2 linked regions of the Drosophila melanogaster genome follow. The protein of the gene in region 2 interacts with the protein of the main gene of each other region in a pairwise test. Each region holds a gene or a part of one and is shown on either strand. Other genes may lie near its edges.

Region 1 (8,599 bases), on a different chromosome or scaffold from region 2:
AAACGCACCTGAGATTGTTGATCTCGTTCCGCGCGATGGTCAACTGACTCTTCAGATCATCCTCGTGCATTTTCGCTGCCGGCAACGCGCACTTGACTCCCAAATAATCCGCAATTGCAGCGTTCTCCGCTGTTATTGACCAATATTTACCTCGATTCTCAATGGTTACATCCAGCTAGAGTTGGCCATCACTTACGCACGGCACCGCGACGTTATCGATTGTCGATAGGTTCACCTGTGCTTAGTTACGGCCAACTGCCTTAATTCCAGTTAGATTTAGCTTGCGCTCAATAGCTTTTTTTACAAACATTTTCTTAAGAAATAACGTTGTAAGCCTCAACAAAAATTATATAAGATAACGTTACTGAGCAGTAAAAGTTTTGTCTTCAATTTACATATGTTTGTTAATATTTTTTTTTACAAATCCCTTTGCTCTATGTTGACTAATTTACAATAATTCACAAATAAAAATAGGAATAATTTAAACATTTTGTAAGCGTAGCTTAACACTATTTTGGCTTTTTCCAAATATTCGATTTCAATGATAAACGATATATCCCAGCGCGCGTTTCTTTTTGGTATTTTTTAGGTTCATTTTCGGGCTGAGAATGACAATCTGAATTTTGCACAGTAGGTTCGATTTGAAGCGACATTTTCCCTGCTATATACAAATTTGTAAATTTTAATTGTTCAAAAGGTGTGTTGCTTGCGGCAGACTTGAGAACTGAATTTTAACCGGCGTTGTCTATTGCAGCTATCGAAGCACGAAGAAAGCATCATGTCTCGCGGAAGTTCAGCCGGCTTTGACAGACACATCACGATCTTCTCTCCGGAGGGACGCCTCTACCAAGTGGGTTAGTATCCTGGCACTTGCGGCTCCATTGTATCCAGTCTGACATTCTCATTTCCCCGCCAGAGTACGCCTTCAAGGCTATTGCCCAGGAGAACATCACCACGGTGGCGCTGAAGAGTGGCGACTGTGCCGTGGTGGCCACCCAAAAAAAAGTGACCGAGAAGAACATCGTGCCTGAAACGGTGACCCACCTGTTCCGCATCACCAAGGACATTGGATGCGCAATGACCGGACGCATAGGTATGAACCATAGATACTTTAAATTCTTGTTTATCCCGGCGTGATTCGAGTCAAATTCCAGTCGAGTTAGCACAGAGTTATCCCATTGTTGATATGTCCCATGTAACCAAGTAGCGATTCACTTATGATTGTGCTAAAATCAGAAGAAATAGCCTGCCAGACATTAGGGCAAAGGCGTATAGCGTGGAGCCATTTTAAACGTAGTTTTCACACGGTGCTTCAACTAGAAAAGAGGACATATCAACCCAAGAGTGTCACTAAATACTTAAAATTATTTCTCTCCCCTAGCTGATTCCCGCTCACAGGTGCAGAAGGCCAGATACGAGGCCGCCAACTTCCGCTACAAGTACGGCTACGAAATGCCCGTGGATGTGCTGTGTCGTCGAATTGCGGATATCAACCAGGTGTACACGCAGAATGCCGAGATGCGTCCGCTCGGCTGCAGCATGGTGCTGATCGCTTACGACAATGAAATCGGCCCCAGCGTTTACAAGACGGACCCGGCTGGCTACTTCAGCGGGTTCAAGGCCTGCAGCGTGGGTGCCAAGACTCTGGAGGCCAACAGCTATCTGGAAAAGAAGTACAAGCCCAACTTGTCGGAGGAGAAAGCGATCCAGCTGGCCATCTCCTGTCTGTCCAGTGTGCTCGCTATAGACTTCAAGCCGAACGGCATTGAGATCGGCGTGGTCAGCAAGTCTGATCCCACTTTCCGTATTTTGGATGAGCGGGAGATCGAGGAACACCTCACCAAGATCGCCGAGAAGGACTAAGTTCTGTCCCGCTAGCTGTAATTTTGTCATATTTTATAAAGCCTCTTGGATCTATGGTTAAATAAAAAATGCTCTTGGCTTGCATTCAAAACAAAGGCAAATCCGAAAACGTTTTATTTCTTCTTGTGCACCTTACCGCCGTATCGCATGACAAAGGCATTTACATCGAATTTGCGACGGCATCCCTGATAGTTCATGTACCTAACCTTACCGAAGATAGCCCGCTCCTTCCAGCCCATGTCATGGACGCCGCCAATGGACCACATGCAGCCCACATAGCCGTTGGGGTCGCGACCATCCAGACTGTACTTGTCGTTCAGCAGGATTGCGTACTCCAACGCATGCTCCGGTGTCGCTGTCCATTCCAGAATCTTTTTGGCCCAGTACATGCGCAAAAAGCCGTGCATCTTTCCCTCGCGTACCAGCTGCAGTTGCGCCGAGTTCCACAGGTCGTCATAAGTGAGAGACTAGGAAAAAATTATAAAATCATTTTAGTCTCAAATCAAAAGAAAAAGAATCCGTGGTGAACCTTTTCTAGTTCTTCTAAGCTGTAGCAGGGATCTCGCTTGTCCTTGCGATGTGCATCTAGCGTTTGATATGCCCAAGAACTTAGACCTTTAAGACTATCATAGTGCTCGTTGTAGAAGCAAAAGTTATCCGCCAGTTCGCGGCGCACAATGGCCTCCTCGCAAAACGCATCCGCCGAGGCTTTGTGTTGTCCTCGAAACCGCTGCACCTCCAGTGCACAGCGCTGAGCCGAAATATGACCAAAGTGCAGCCACGGCGAGAGTCCGGACAAGGCGTCTGCCGTGGGATCGTTTCGTTTGTCATTGAAATGGCGCAAACGACGACTGCAGAACTCGTAGAGCTGCTGGCAGGCTGCTTTATACCCCGGCTTGGCCCACTGCACCTCGTCCACTTCCATGTCGCACTGCAGCGAAGCATAAGCAGCTGACCAGTCCACGGTATTCACATTCTTGCAGCCAGTTCCATGAGGATGCCGCACAACTGGTGGGAATACGCTGAGGTACTCCCCTAGCTTGGAGTTGATCTTGTTGCGGATGGTACGCGCAGCGTACTCCTGTTTGTCGGAGGCCACCCACAAGGGGACTACATTGTGAGCATCGACTTGCACCAACGGCACGCTCTTGGGCAGTGCCTTGCCCACATCCTCGACCCATTGGCGTGGCAAACGCAGCGGAGCAAAGTCACAGACTACGGCTCCGATGTCCTTGGATTTCACAAATTGTGGTAACTTTTCAACAGCGGAGCCCATCAGCAGGTGAAACGGTATGTCAAGGGCGCGACACTGCTGCTCCACCTCCTGCAGGCCGCCCATCATGAATTTGTAGTGCCTGATAGTGGCATTCAGGAATTTGGGAACTAGGCAAAATACCACAGTTAAGGGTAATTCCAGCTTGAGAGCCAGACGCTGGGCAAAGAGCAGGGCCCAGTTGTCCTGTACGCGCCCGTCGCGGGACATCCAGTAGACGACGCCGCCTAGGCTGGATTCCTTTACATCTTCGGTTTTGGACAGAACGCGCACTCGTTTCTTTCGAAAAGAGAACTCCTGTATGTTGGCTGCCGTGCAGACTCGCTGGTGTTCCAAGTGGGTAAGAAACTGCTCGAAGTTTTGGTAATCCGGCTTAGAAACCAACAAAGCCTTCGATGTGGAGGCCTCCTCATCGCTGCTTTCCTGGTCACTTTTGGGCTCGGAGCTGGCCTTCTCGTTTTTTGCTGCCTTTTTGGAAGGACCTGCCTTCTGCGCCTTCGTACGCTTCATCGCCTGCAGCGGAAGAACCTGAACATGAATGAAAAATCGTGATTTGATTTTTACTAATTCGATTTAACCCACAATCTTGAATGATTCGCGCCAATATGAAGCAAGTGTAAACATAACTGTATAACGATATGGCGACTCTATCAGCTGTTCAATGAGAGTGAAAATTATGCTAGTAGCCGCACTCCAAATACACTTCCCTTGGAAGAGAAATTATTATGAATTAACATAAATAAAGAATTAAGTATTATGTTTAAATTTATATTAGTAGATTTTTTTTTGGCATAATATTTTAAGGAAAGTTGTGGCTTTCGGTTTTGAAATACATTTAACTCCAGATGTTCCTATTTCCTAAACATTCCCTAAGATTTCAATAGTCTCAGTGCCGCATACGATACACAGCAGTTATCGATTACAAAAAGAGTGCAGATCTGAAAGCGCACGTTGAAATTAAACCGATTCTTTACTGTTTTATAATAAAATGTTTTATATTGGGAATGAAAATGGACGAAACTGTGGACGAAGCGGAATTTAATGCCAATATCGGCCGTATTGCTCGATCTACGCTTTTGCACGATGCTGAACAATCGATCCACAGGGAGTTGATCGACTACGCTGTTGCGTCGTGCCGTCTGTTTTACATCCAGGATGCTTCAGCCTGGAAGGAGTGGAACACCAGGAACGAGGCTTTCAGGGATCTCACTGCCAAGGAAGTGTGCCATTTATTCCTAACCGAAGTTCTGCCCCAACTGGACACCTATCAGCTTTCGGAGATGGCCCAAAAACGCCTTAAGCTTCTGGATCTGCATCCATTCTTCAGGCGCGTTGCCCAAGGCTACCAGTACACTCCGGATTGTGACCTTGCAGCTCGATTTGTAGTCCAGCGCCAGAAACATTTTATCCAACCTGAAGATATCAAGAAGATTAAGGTAAGCATATCTGTCGGCGAATAATTTTGATGCCAATTTACTATGTACATGCATAAATATGAATGTATTTACTTAAAATTGCTTTCGTTAATAAACAATAAGTACCCTTTTTTTAATTTAATTTAATCTATCCTTATGCAGTTATCCGGGCACTTACACATCACATTATAATCTTATATCTCTTACTCTCTTAATCCAATAGTATGATATTAATTTTTGCTCGATTTTTATAGAAAGGCGATTCCCTGAAAAGATGCCAAACCGTGCTCATGGAAAGCGATGAAATGGAGCAGAAAACCTGCGTTGGGTATCGAAGCAAAGTCTCCATGGAGTCCGCCGTTCTGTTCTCGGTACTGTTGTCCACCAACCATGAGCTTTCTATTGGAAAGATGCTCGATATGAGTGAGATTCACGAAAGAATGCGGCGCGCCAAACAGTCATTCGAGGATACTGCTAGAGTTACTCCGTTCCGAACGAACATTGATGACCTAATCTCCGATTTGGATGTCTGTGCTAAGGTCAAATCCAAACTTTGTCGAGTAATAAGTGATTGTAAAAAGTACTAGAAAGGATTAGCTATATCTTTTATCTATATTTAATACTTTTATTTCATTTTAATCAATAGTATAAAATTATTTCTCTGGATTTTAGGTGACTATAAGAAGACTATTTTTGTAATATTTTTGAACCATTTAAGCTCAAAATACAACTTACTATTCATATTTTAATATATAATTCCATGTTATCATGAATTTATTAGAATTTATATATACAAGTAAAGATTCGAAATTCAGCTTCGACCCGCTCCTTACGATTGTTATCTATATTATCAATTAATACATTAAGGTTGCTCATCATAATTGTTAATTGTTTGCTCATAAAAGCGTTTAAAAATGAAAGATGGGAAATACTTTTTTAGCTTTCCCTTATTGTCTCTAAAGTAAGATCGTAGTCATGATACAAGCTCTTCCTAAATGTGTAGAAATAATGATACATTTGTATTATATATACATAAACGCGAAATATTAAAAAGAAACATTCCGAAAATTAAAGAATTGCATTAGTTTACAACAAAAACTATCGAATCTCTCTAATCAAAACGACGCGCCAAGCCAAATTTAGTACATTATCTGTGCTGAATCATTTTCGCTGTGCCGCAATATTTAATTAACTGCAGCGATCATTGCAGTTTTAGCCACCAGAGAAGCGTAACATAGAAATCAAAATGCAGAAGGTTGCACTGCTTCTAGTCGCCTTCCTGGCTGCGGCCGTGGCCCACCCAAATTCGCAGGAGAAGCCCGGATTGCTGCGCGTACCGCTCCACAAATTTCAGTCGGCCCGCCGGCACTTTGCGGATGTGGGCACGGAGCTGCAGCAATTGCGCATTAGGTACGGCGGAGGTGATGTGCCGGAACCGCTGTCCAACTATATGGACGCGCAGTACTATGGGCCCATTGCCATTGGCTCGCCACCGCAGAACTTCCGTGTGGTTTTCGACACCGGCTCCTCGAACTTGTGGGTGCCGTCCAAGAAGTGCCACCTGACCAACATCGCCTGTTTGATGCACAACAAGTACGATGCCTCCAAGTCGAAGACCTACACCAAGAACGGCACTGAGTTCGCCATCCAGTATGGCTCGGGCAGCTTGTCCGGATACCTGTCCACGGATACGGTGTCCATTGCCGGCCTGGACATCAAGGATCAGACATTCGCTGAGGCGCTCAGTGAGCCGGGCCTGGTCTTCGTAGCTGCCAAGTTCGACGGCATCCTAGGCCTGGGCTACAACTCCATCTCGGTGGACAAGGTGAAGCCGCCATTTTACGCCATGTACGAACAGGGTTTGATCTCCGCTCCGGTGTTCTCATTCTACCTGAATCGCGATCCCGCCTCGCCCGAGGGCGGTGAGATCATCTTTGGCGGCTCCGATCCCAACCACTACACTGGTGAATTCACCTACTTGCCCGTTACCCGCAAGGCCTACTGGCAAATCAAGATGGATGCCGCCTCCATTGGCGATTTGCAGCTGTGCAAGGGCGGTTGCCAGGTGATCGCTGACACCGGTACCTCACTAATTGCTGCGCCCTTGGAAGAGGCCACCTCTATTAACCAGAAGATTGGTGGAACTCCCATCATCGGTGGTCAGGTGAGTACCATGCTCTAAGTTCTCACATGAAGCACTGCTAATCCTCTTAATTTCTTACTTTAGTATGTGGTTTCTTGCGATCTCATTCCCCAATTGCCGGTAATCAAGTTTGTGCTGGGCGGAAAGACCTTCGAGCTCGAGGGCAAGGACTATATTCTCCGTGTGGCCCAGATGGGTAAGACCATCTGTCTGTCCGGCTTTATGGGCTTGGACATCCCCCCTCCAAACGGACCCTTGTGGATCCTCGGTGACGTTTTCATTGGCAAATACTACACCGAGTTTGACATGGGCAACGATCGTGTGGGCTTCGCCGATGCCAAATAATCGAACAAAGAAAAGTATACTTAAAATTTAAATTGTAAACATTATCGATCGATCCCATTGCGGGTTTCTCCGAAGAATAATATATAAATTATCATTTTAGTAGATTTTCCATATATTTATTAGCGTAAGTTTATTAATTACAATAGGGCTTGCGCGGTCTGCACTTAATGAGACGAATAGTAAGTACGTGGCGATGACCGACGCTTCTAATCTTCCAAAATCGACTAACTTAAGTATAGCAAGAGTTCTTATCTCTAAAGCTTAACAAGTTACAGTTTCTTATAGGTAAAGCTCGATCTATAGATGGGAAAAGCACTTGAGGCTTACGACTATATTTCGGGTGTTTTGTGATTGTGTTAACTCCTCCCCTTCTAAGACGAAGGCTGTCCACAGACTTTTTACAATTGGCAAATCTATTTGAAAGCGGATCTTACGGGTAACATTGGTTGTGCACTAAGTTCCCATACTGCCAACCTGGTACTGCGTTAAACCATCGAAGGGAAGGCAGCTCTGCGTGTCTGGATGATCCGAGAAGTTCGTAAATGCTGCTGATTCTCCATGTCATGGGTTCGCAACAAGGTTCTGGAGATGATCGTAGCGAACTTGGAAAAAATCTTTATTGTAACCGTCGACTTGTTGACGACGATGATGCTGATGTTGGTTGAACTAGTTGACCATCAAAACGTATGTGTTGAACGCACTCTGGTTGGCGTCTGATGGCAGATATTATTCAGTTCGTCGTTTCAGTACCCAGGCGCAGAAATAGTTGCCGCATCTTTACGTCTTTAGCAGATACTACGTTGATAGATCTTAATTCCCTCTTCTACTCTTCTCATCTACTTAAGAGGTAGTTACAGTTTTAATACTAAAGTTTTGACAATAATTAAGTATAACAATTATAATTTTATAATAAAGTTCATTCAGATATTTTTGATATTAAAGTATGTAGTAAAACGCTTATTGATTGCAAGTATTGATTTTCCTATTTAGTTGAACAGAATCAGGAAAGGGTATTGATAACATTAGTGTTTTATTTTTTTTTAATCGGGAATTTGAAATCTAATTAGAGTGAGTGCGCTATACTGTTATTATGCCGTTTTGGTAATGCATTTATTTTCTATGGTAGTTTCAGGAAATATTTGTGGTTGCGTGGACTTTAAGTTTTCAAATCATTCGGGTCTAGCATTTCATCACATACCTTTAAAATTTTCTAAAGAGGATGAAGCGGAAATAATACAAAATGTTTAAAGATTAAATAAGAAGGATTTGACAAATATTTAATTGAAAAATGTTTGCAAACTCTTTTACTAGTGTTCAGATTTCACGTTTGTATTTTGCTAACTTGGCGATGGTCACAAAAGGAAAAGAAATACTAAACCTAGCGTAGATTATCTTTATGAACGACCCTCCCTTTTATGAGGACCGTTGTCCCGAGGTCTGCTTCGATTAGTTCTTCCCTATACCGTGGGGTTAGTTTATTTCCCAAGCGATTGTTTTGTTTTACCATGACGGTTTCTCCCACCTCAAAGGTTCTGTCTCGTCTTGTTACATTTTCTCTTC
Region 2 (9,453 bases):
TGTGGCTGGCGTCAAGACGAACTTACTACATTCGGATTCAAAAATTTATTACTCTGCATCCGAGGGGCCAGAGCCCAGTTACCAAACTTTATGAGTTCTCCATGCTATTTTCAGTTGCCTTCTGCTGTTTGTTTGTCAGGCGGTATATGTTTTCTGCTGGCTGGTAATTTTGTTTGCCGACAAGGCGCAAAATGGTTGAATAATGGCCAGCGACATTTCGCTTTATGTTTGACTTGGCTGCAACAAGAAATGTGATGCAGGATGCGACGAAACGAGGCACCAGTACAAGAGCCAACAAATGTTTGCTAAGATTATTTCCTTGTTGCTCCTTAATTTGATTATGAAAAAGGATTACTCGGGCGGGCAATGAGGGATGTGTTTAATTATATTCCTTACTCATTTGAACTTAGATACTATAATATTTTTGAAATATTTCAAACTAGTTATCAAAGAACTCCTCAGTATTTCTTTTAATTCAACTAATTCAAGCGGTTTTAATGTACTGGCATACGTTTTTTTGTACTACCCAAATTGAATACATGCTGGCCCCTCGAAAATTCCTGCCAAATTCTGAGACTCGGCTAATGATCCAGAATCTAAGCAAGGCCAAGAGTCCCATAATTCCCCGAAAACGGGGCGAATCGCGCTTGCCATTGTGCGCCTATCTATATGGCTAATTATGCTAAACAAATTATGGAATATGATTAATAGAGAGCACGGCCTGGCAATTAACTTTTTGCGATAAATAAACCGGAATATATACGTAAGTCTAATTTAATGCTCGCTGGTATTGCGGCCAGATTTATTGGTCCCGCCCACATTTGACGCCCCTAGGGTTCGTTTTGCAGAACGGATTTGTCCTGCGATTTAACAATTCACGTAGTGACATTTGCATTTTTGATTGCCTCAATATTTCTTGCACTGCTTTGTTTTTGCTTATGGCCATCGCCATCGCCACCGCACCGTTGTAGGTGTTCCACTCCCCCCCCCCCCAAAAAAAAAAAAAAAATGTGGGCAAAAAAGTTTAAGGCCAAGAAACGTGTCGTGTAAATTAAACAGGTTTGGGTTTTAGCGGGGAGTTTTTCGGTTTAAAAAATGATACTCCAAAGGTCAGCGCGGCTTTAAAACGTTGTGCAAGTCATTTATATACAGCTACCTTTTTTCGCTGGGCGTAACAATGTCTAATTATGCCGTTTTGTGGGCGGCTCAGCTGTTTTTTTACTTGGGACGGAGTCAACGCCATTTTCTTAATTCGTTCGCGGTTCATTCTCGCCACTGAGGAAAATATTTCAATATGCGGGCTCTTTTCTCGGTGGGGATTAAAGGCTAAGGCTAAAAGTTCGAGGGACCAGAACAAAGAGCCGATGTATTATATTTCCAGGCAATTGTTTATGAGCCCCTTCTTTAACTCTTGGTTGGGGTGCATGGGGACATTATTTTTTCGGTGGGAAGAATCGTGCCGAAGTGGCGGGAAACCTAAAAACAAAAGAAAACGGAACGACGAACCCCTGGCGGCGTGCAAAACTCCTACACGCACTCCTCTGATGGATTCAGGACTCAGGACTCGAGGAGTGACGCGCTTGGCGCTGCACCAGCACTTAACCTTGGCTGAACACCGAGGACACGGCACTCGAGGTATGAATTAAATCCTGCCACGAATCCTGTCCGCAAAGATACCTAACACATAGACGAGACTTCGTTTCTCTGTGGAAACTTTAACCCAAAAGCCTGGCAGGACGAAGTTGGCTCTCTTTCGAGGGGCAGGAAGCTTTGTCGTGCGACTTCCATTCAGCGCTTCTCTTTGGCGAGAGCTTTCAGAATGAAGAGAAGTAATGTTAAGAGAATGTAAGAGAGGAGGTCTGAAATCATGTTTGTTGGAATATCTCTGAAGGGCAAGTGTTGCAAACTGCTGCACATTTCTAAAACAAAAATATAAAAATAAAGATATAAAATATATAAAATAAAAAATAAAAAATTTCTAAAATAACAAAATAATAATGAAATGATTTAATATTTACGAAACTGTTGTCAGCAGTATTATTACATTATTATTGATAAAGTTAAGTTTCTTCAGCATATTATCCACCTCACTCGTAGACATGGAAAACACATGGATAATTCCTGGGAAATGCCTTGTCCACGTAGAAGACATATTTCATATGGCGCTATGGAGAAAGAATGCTTGATACTGTGAAAGTTGAGACAGCATTGGAGGATACATTTTCCAAACATCCCTTGCCTGGGAGAAAAGATTCTTGAGCTTAGGAACTTAATTACGATTTTTTATGCTCTCTGGCTAGGCGTAATAACATATCGAACTCCATTCCTTAATGGTCCACTCCTTGTTGATTCTACTGGACAGTGAGCAAATGCAACATATTCATAATTCAGAATCTGAGGCTTCGACATTATCTTTAAAATCAGATTCTTTTTATCACTTTGCGGCCATTTGATCCCCTCCAATTCTACCAATGATTCAAACTCCCCTTCTCTATTTCTCCGATTCTTTTTCTCAAAACCTTCCGATTATTCTTTCGAAAATATTCTTATTTTTTAAGGGCTTTATTAGACCCTAAGTGGATGATTTAATGATTTCGATTTAACTTTCTTACAATTTATATTTTATATATATATGTTTTTTTTTTTCAGACAGAAGCTTGCAGCGCAGTAAGGCTGACACTTGCGTTTACATAGATACATACATTTTTTTTGTAGCTCAAATATTTTAACATAATTTTTTAACATAGACTTAGCAGGTCAATATATATACAGGTATTCCGTGCACACATTGTATCATAACAGCAAGCTTTCGTAAGCCAGCAGCACTAATGCATACTTTTGGGTGCTGATTGTGGAGCCATACAAAAAGCGATCAAAAATTAAAAACTTTTCGGGTAGCTCACTGGAGCACTAACACAATGGCAGGGGAAAATGCACACGGCTTTTGATTTGGCCACTCTCCTTCTTTTACCGTTTGTCTTCGGCTAAAACACACACACACATACCCTTACACCCTTACGCCGAGGAAAATGGAGAAATAGTCAGGTAGTTAAAACTTTTAAATTGAGGGCGGGGATCATTTGTGATTTCTGCCGTCTGGGCACTGCACAAATAAAAGGGAAGGATCCTGAATGTGGGAAAATCCTGGAAAGTTACAGTCACGGCAGAAGCGCTCTGTCACTGCTCATTTGTTGCTAATAATTATAAAAGTTTTCCCCAATCCCCCGAGTGACGTAAGTGCGACAGGAAAGATATAGAAAAACACTTGCCAGACTATCTGTCTGTGGGCTGATGCTGATAGAAAAAGGACCCGAAACTTTTGACAATTGTTTAGTTTACAGGATGTGCTCGACAATGTTTGCCGAGTCCTTTTTAGAGCTGGCATTTAGCTCAGATTTCGCAGCGAATAGCGAATAGTTTGCAGTCGCGGCTCGGCCTAAAAGCTTGCAGTATTAAATTTTTATTTGCTTACTTCATAACAATAGTGAGGGCTGTGCCACTCCCCCTTTTATAAGTCACTTGGTTCGGGCACTTGGAGCTCAGCCAGAATCCTCGGATGGCAAACAGGCCGAACAAAGCAAGCGCCAAATTGCCCTAAAAGCCTTTTCAAGTCAAAAGTTTTGCCTGTTTGCGCATAATTATTTAGCCGTGACATAAACAAAAAATCACAAAACTGCACGGATGGGGAAGGATCCTGCAAAACTATCCTAAGTAGTGTTTAACTATTAGGGACTTTTGCCGAGATTTGGTTTCAACTGTGCAGAAAATGTTACCAAACATCACGTATGTACACATCATCATTTTACCTTGATGAAGGTACTACCATAAGTTCTATTTCACATGAATCTCTTAGAATCCCTATGATCCCTTGCACTGTATAAACTGCAGTTAAGCTGTCGTTCTTCAGTCCTCCTCAGTCTCTGGAACCTGCTCGTCTTCCTGGTCCAAACTTGGCAGGTTCCCCTCTTCGTCACCGAACATAAGCCTCTCCATGAGCTCCATTTGGGTGTGGAGGATGGCGGCCAGAGTGAAGGTTCGCTCGATCCGCTCCCTATATTTCATCTGCTCCAGATCCTTGTCTATCGGCATGACATATATTGTCTCGGAATAAATTGAACTAATCTTCGTCTTTCGTCGCTTAAGCTCATTACTATTCAGTTTTCGTTGGATGTTCTGTGCAACTGTGCGATTCTTTCGCTGATATCCCTTTTGGCAGTGGAACACTTTTACGATGTAGTTAATAAAGTGGGCATATTCAACGCGCAGGAATTGCCAGAATGTTATGCGCTGCCTCACTTTCTTATCCCTATCCGCCTTGACACTGGCCATCTGATCCCTCATCATGGAAACGATCAAGTTGATCAGCATGTACTTGACCACGAATCCCATTATGGTATACAATAAGATGCCCAGCCACTCTCCGCCGTAAAAGATATCCGGTGGGTATACCAAATTCGTATAGCCAAAGGCAAAGCAGGTGACCGTAACAATGCCCTTGGGGAAGTCCCTGAAGTTGCTGGTATAGTTGCCATTGATGGTTACCGTCGCAATGCCAATTGCAATGATGAAAATCACGGTTATTACGAAGGTGCAGAGCAACGCGTCCCACGCCATAGCGATTGTCTTGGTGAACAGTTGGAAGGTGGCGGAAAACTGCAACACTTTCCACAAACGCATAGTGACCAAGGCCACGGCCAATCCCGTGACCACATCCTCAAGGTAGGCGAGCTGGGCTGGCTCCCGAAAGTCCAGAAAGTCCACCACAACGGCGATTTCAACACTCTTGATCATCTTTTGAACCAAGTTATCCCGCACCGACATGATCATCCCCACAACGAGGCTGAGTGCCACGATCATTGCATCCACCTGGACCCACAGGGTCTTCAACTGTCGAGGATCGTACCAGACCTTCAGGAAGAACGCCTTGGTGAACTGCAGCCACGTGACGACAAAGACAAACACCATTAGCATTCCGAACTTCGTAAACTCTCGCAGTTGCTCCACAAAGGTGTGACTCTCGATCCTCGTGTGGCCATCAGGATACTGGTAAGGGAACTTTTCCACCCACAAGGTGCACACGGTAAAGGTGTTGGCATCCGCGTTGTACAAGCTGAAATCCATGAACAAAGCGGTCGTATTCGCATCCAGCCAGTTTTTCTTCATCAAGTAATCAATAATTTTCAGGCTTTTGTGGCGGGTGTCCGAGAGCAGTACCTTGTAGCCCTTCGATTCCGGATAGTTGAACATGTGCCCCACGTGGTTAATGCCCATAAGTAGGTTGTCCCGAGCAACAGAAACACTGGGCAGCCAGGGTGTGTAGATGGGCCAGTACTTGTCCGTATAGGGAACCCTTTCGTAGGGCAGTGTCCAGCTCTCCGAAAAGTCCCGCTCAGTGAACACAGGAAGCGATAGACCCAATCGGTTGCTCTCTGTCCTCAGCTGCCTCAGTCTCACCACGCCCAGTAGTCTAGTGCCCTCCGCATGGATCCAAGGAGCTCCGCCACTGGTGTTCTTGCCATCCGTAAAGGCCAGCACTAACGAGGACACCACAAAAAAATATATATCCGGCACATCCCCCACACTCAATAGTCCGAACGCATCCCCATGATTACATTGGAACAGTAACTCCGTGGCCTCTGTGTTAAAGTACAGCAACTCATCGAAGAAAGCCAAGGCCATGAAGAAGTAAACCAGGAACAGCTTGCCCGTGAGCCAAAGTTCCTCGGTAATCAGGCGATACTTCAGGTTGACCCTCTCGTTCCGATGCCTCTCCGTGATCATCAGCTCACTCCGCAGCGTCCGGAGGCGCAGTCTGAGATTGTCCATGAACGTGTCCACATTGGCATTCTCGTCGGGAGTCTCCGGTGCTTGGTGGGCCGGCCAGAAGGCGGCATCCAGCGACATAATTGTGAACTTAATGGGCGTAAAGATTAGGATCTGAAGTAAAGTAACGGCCAAGAAGGCAACCAGGATCATGTTGAATTTGCCATATTCGTGACGGAAGCCCGAGAACATCCAGATACAGGCCACACAGATGGCTATGATTATCAGGGTCAGATAGAATATTATGTTACTAAACTTCTTCGCCATTGCTGTTATCAAGCTTTAGTTGAGCCTCTATAAGCTTGTATACAAATAGAATGAGTGAAAACTCCCTTGACAGTTTAGGATGGGGTTCTTTGGGATGCTTTAGATTTGATTACAGTGCCTGTCCATACTACGTAACTTATTATCATACTATTATTATGTATACTATTAGGTATAATTTGCATAGTCCCAGATTTAAGTTTACAAAGCTTTCCCCGGACTCCCAATTATTTCATTGAAATAAATATTAATTTGAAGCGTATTTAAAAAGGAATATACAATTGAATATCCATTTATTTCCGTTGTCTCCGAGGTGATCACAGCTTAGTAATTTAAATAAGGAGCGGTGCAGATGGAACGGCGTAGCTCAGTGGTGCGGAGTAAGCCAAAGGCGAGGAGTAGGTCATGGCGCAGCCAGAGGAGCGGCTGCGTACAGGGCCAAGAGAGACACAGCCAGAGGAGCAGCCACGGGAGCAATCACAGGAGCAAGAGCGATTTCATTCATTAACCTGACAACTGGCAGCGGTCACAACTGGAGAGAGACCAGCTACTACGACAGTCAGACCAGAGGAGGAGAGTAAGCCACGTTAGCAATGTAGGCCAAGGCGCACCAAGCAGTTCAGGCCAAGACAAGGACGTCCTGTGAATAAAATACAATTCGTATATAGGGCAGAAAGCTAAGATTCAAAACTTACGGATTTAAACATTTGGATTATGGATCTGGTGCTTTCGGTTCGAAAACTTGAACCTGATGTCGCCTGTAGCATATTGGACTAATCTACCCTAAGAATACAATAGATGATTGGGTATAACATAGCGTCAATACATTGTGACACTTTGTCATAATAAATATAAATATACAAATATACAAAAAGACCACCAAAAACTACGTAAGCACTCCAGCGCCCCAGTAATACGATCTAACGCTTATACATAAGCCGATCGCGGAGCGTGGGAATGCTGAGCATGCACTTTGCAGCTCAAGTGGTCAATGCCTTCTGCATACATATGTATATGTATAAATGTAAGTAAGAATACATAGATATAAGCAATGTATGTGCGGGTTAGCTGAACCCAACTTCAGCACACTTTGATCATTCGAATAAACAGATTCAAACAGAGCAGAGGTTCTGAGCTCGGAAACCAAATCTATTACATCTATACCTGTTACATTTTTAAAACAATTACACGCCCAACACATTCCATACCACTATTTATACGCCGCATCGAGGCTGCGCCTGTGACTTCAGGTCATCGCATTTAGTCCACCTTCTGCAGTTAGCAGTGAGAAATCACATAAACTACGGAAAAGTGAAAATGGTTAATCGTAACGGGAGACTGTCACAGCATTTATATGAACTAAATAAGTGCGAACAGGAGTCAGAGCTGACCACAATTTCGGGTATAAATATGCTCCACGCAGAGGAGTGGGATATCAAAGAGCTTCTAGCCTTCCGAAAAAGCACAACACAACGAAATATTCCACCATGTTCAAATACGTACGTTCTTCAGAAAGGACCCACAGAGGATTAAGCTAATCAAGCTGATTTGTTAACAGGCCGTCCTTGTCCTGATAACCGTCGCCTGCGCTGCTGCCAAGCCCGATCTCCTGGGTGCTGCCCTGGCGTACACTGGTCCTCTGGCTTACTCTGCTCCTCTAGACTACTCTGCTCTCGCTGCCGTGGTAACTGCTCCCACTCCACCTGTGACCGCCACCAGTATCGCCAGGAACAACAATGGAATCGATGCTGCTTCTGAGATTGCTTCCGTTGCTGCTCCAGTGGTGGCCAAGTACGCTGCTGCTTCTTTGGCCTACCCTTCGCGTTTGGCCAACTCCGCTCCAATCAGCTGCGCCTCTGCTGCTGCGCAGGTCATCATCTAAATTATCAACATGTGATCACTTGACGAAATAAATTTGCAAATGTATGTCAAAAATGATGGTGGTGGCAGCGTGATAGGAAACTATCGATAGGATCAGGAGTGCAGTTGGCAGGAATGATCGAAAAAGAAGTTGCAAACTAGAAGTCGAAATGAAATGAGTTGTGAAAAAGCGGATAAGTCAGAAGTTGAAAGTAGAAGTAGTGTTTGTCTTTTCTCCTTAACTTTTTAATATTAAATAATATAAAAAAACAATAACCAATATTTGAATAAATATTACATGTATTAAACATGTTTTAAATTAGATACAATTCCTTCTTAAAATGAATATATTTATAGGCTACTCTCACTGAAGATAAAGCTCTCCTGGGCCTTCTCTCTTGTTTTTGCCGAATGACAAATATATTTTATTGTACCTCGTGTAAATTTTAGCGATTTGCCGAAAAACGTTTGCCACTCCCACGCCGCCCACTAAAACAGGTTACACCCACACTTTGGAACAATTTTATATTTTTTCTCATTTTATTCCCCAATATCTATCGATATCCCAGGAAAATAATGAAATTTCGCGTTCGCATTCACACTAGCCGAGTAACGGGTATCTGATAGTCAGGGAACTAGACTTTAGCATTGTCTCTTGTTCTTTTCTCGGTATGCAGAATTTAAGAACTTCTTGGTTTTGCAGTTTGTTTTCCGCCGTTGTCCGAAACTCCATTAAATATTCAGCTGTCTAATCCCTTATCCGGTATTCCCAGCAGCCCTAACTCGCTTAAATTTCACTTGCCTGCTGGTAGTTAGTTAACCTTGCATTTCTTTGTCCTTGTCGGGTTGAAGCCATGTACAAATTATTGTGCTATCAGTGGCACTTCAATGGGCTCCCAGCGGTTGCCACTTAGGGTTGCCAACGAGTGCAGCAGATGCACCACCACCTACCGCCCACTAAGATGGGACCCCCAAGCCCCCCGGAAGCCACTGGGCTCTCAGTACTGGGGCTGGCAATAAAATTCCTAAACCGTTTTTGACAAATGAAACGTGCAACAAACAAGACGCCCAGGCGGCTACAGGCGAAAAAGTACGTAAGACGTGGGGCGAAGGACCAACCAGCCAGCCTGCAGCATCCAGGATACAGGTCCTGAGACCCAGGACGTAGGTCGCAGGACGCAGGACCGAGAATCTGCGAATGAGCCGAGCTCCAGTGCCAACAAAGATTTATGCATTTTACAGGGCAGACTACACTTTATGCGAAACTAAACGGCAAACAGTTTGAGTGAGGAAAGCTTTCACTCTCCATGCAGAGAAAGAAAATTGTCAAAATTATCAAACCTAAAGATTTCATGCTGAAAAAAACTTTTAAGGTTAAAGGTCTAAATCTTCGTTATTATCTAGGCTGGAGTAAATTTGATTATTCCAGACCCCATTTGAAGCTTGTATAATATCACTTGTGAATCCTTTGCAAATCACTTTCTTAAGTACTAAGTAAGGTACTAA

What was found. The genes of interacting proteins can lie anywhere in the genome.
Region 1: the proteins of brv1 (region 2) and phr interact in a two-hybrid assay, tested with the Drosophila melanogaster proteins (one large-scale study listed by BioGRID).

Annotation. Positions count from the first base shown.
Region 1 is NT_033778.4:7,820,665-7,829,263, reverse strand, and holds phr (photorepair), read right to left. Parts: upstream 3,976-8,599; 5' UTR 3,761-3,975; coding exon 3,719-3,760; exon of another isoform or gene 3,665-3,718; coding exon 2,393-3,664; intron 2,331-2,392; coding exon 1,977-2,330; 3' UTR 1,945-1,976; downstream 1-1,944. Other genes in the region: CG18853 (uncharacterized protein), read right to left, coding at 9-70; Prosalpha1 (proteasome alpha1 subunit), read left to right, coding at 779-854, 917-1,093, 1,382-1,863; CG30383 (uncharacterized protein), read left to right, coding at 4,141-4,572, 4,806-5,138; cathD (cathepsin D), read left to right, coding at 5,798-6,715, 6,779-7,039.
Region 2 is NT_037436.4:19,480,380-19,489,832, forward strand, and holds brv1 (brivido-1), read right to left. Parts: upstream 6,120-9,453; 5' UTR 6,091-6,119; coding exon 3,904-6,090; 3' UTR 3,447-3,903; downstream 1-3,446. Other genes in the region: CG32212 (uncharacterized protein), read left to right, coding at 7,575-7,586, 7,646-7,969.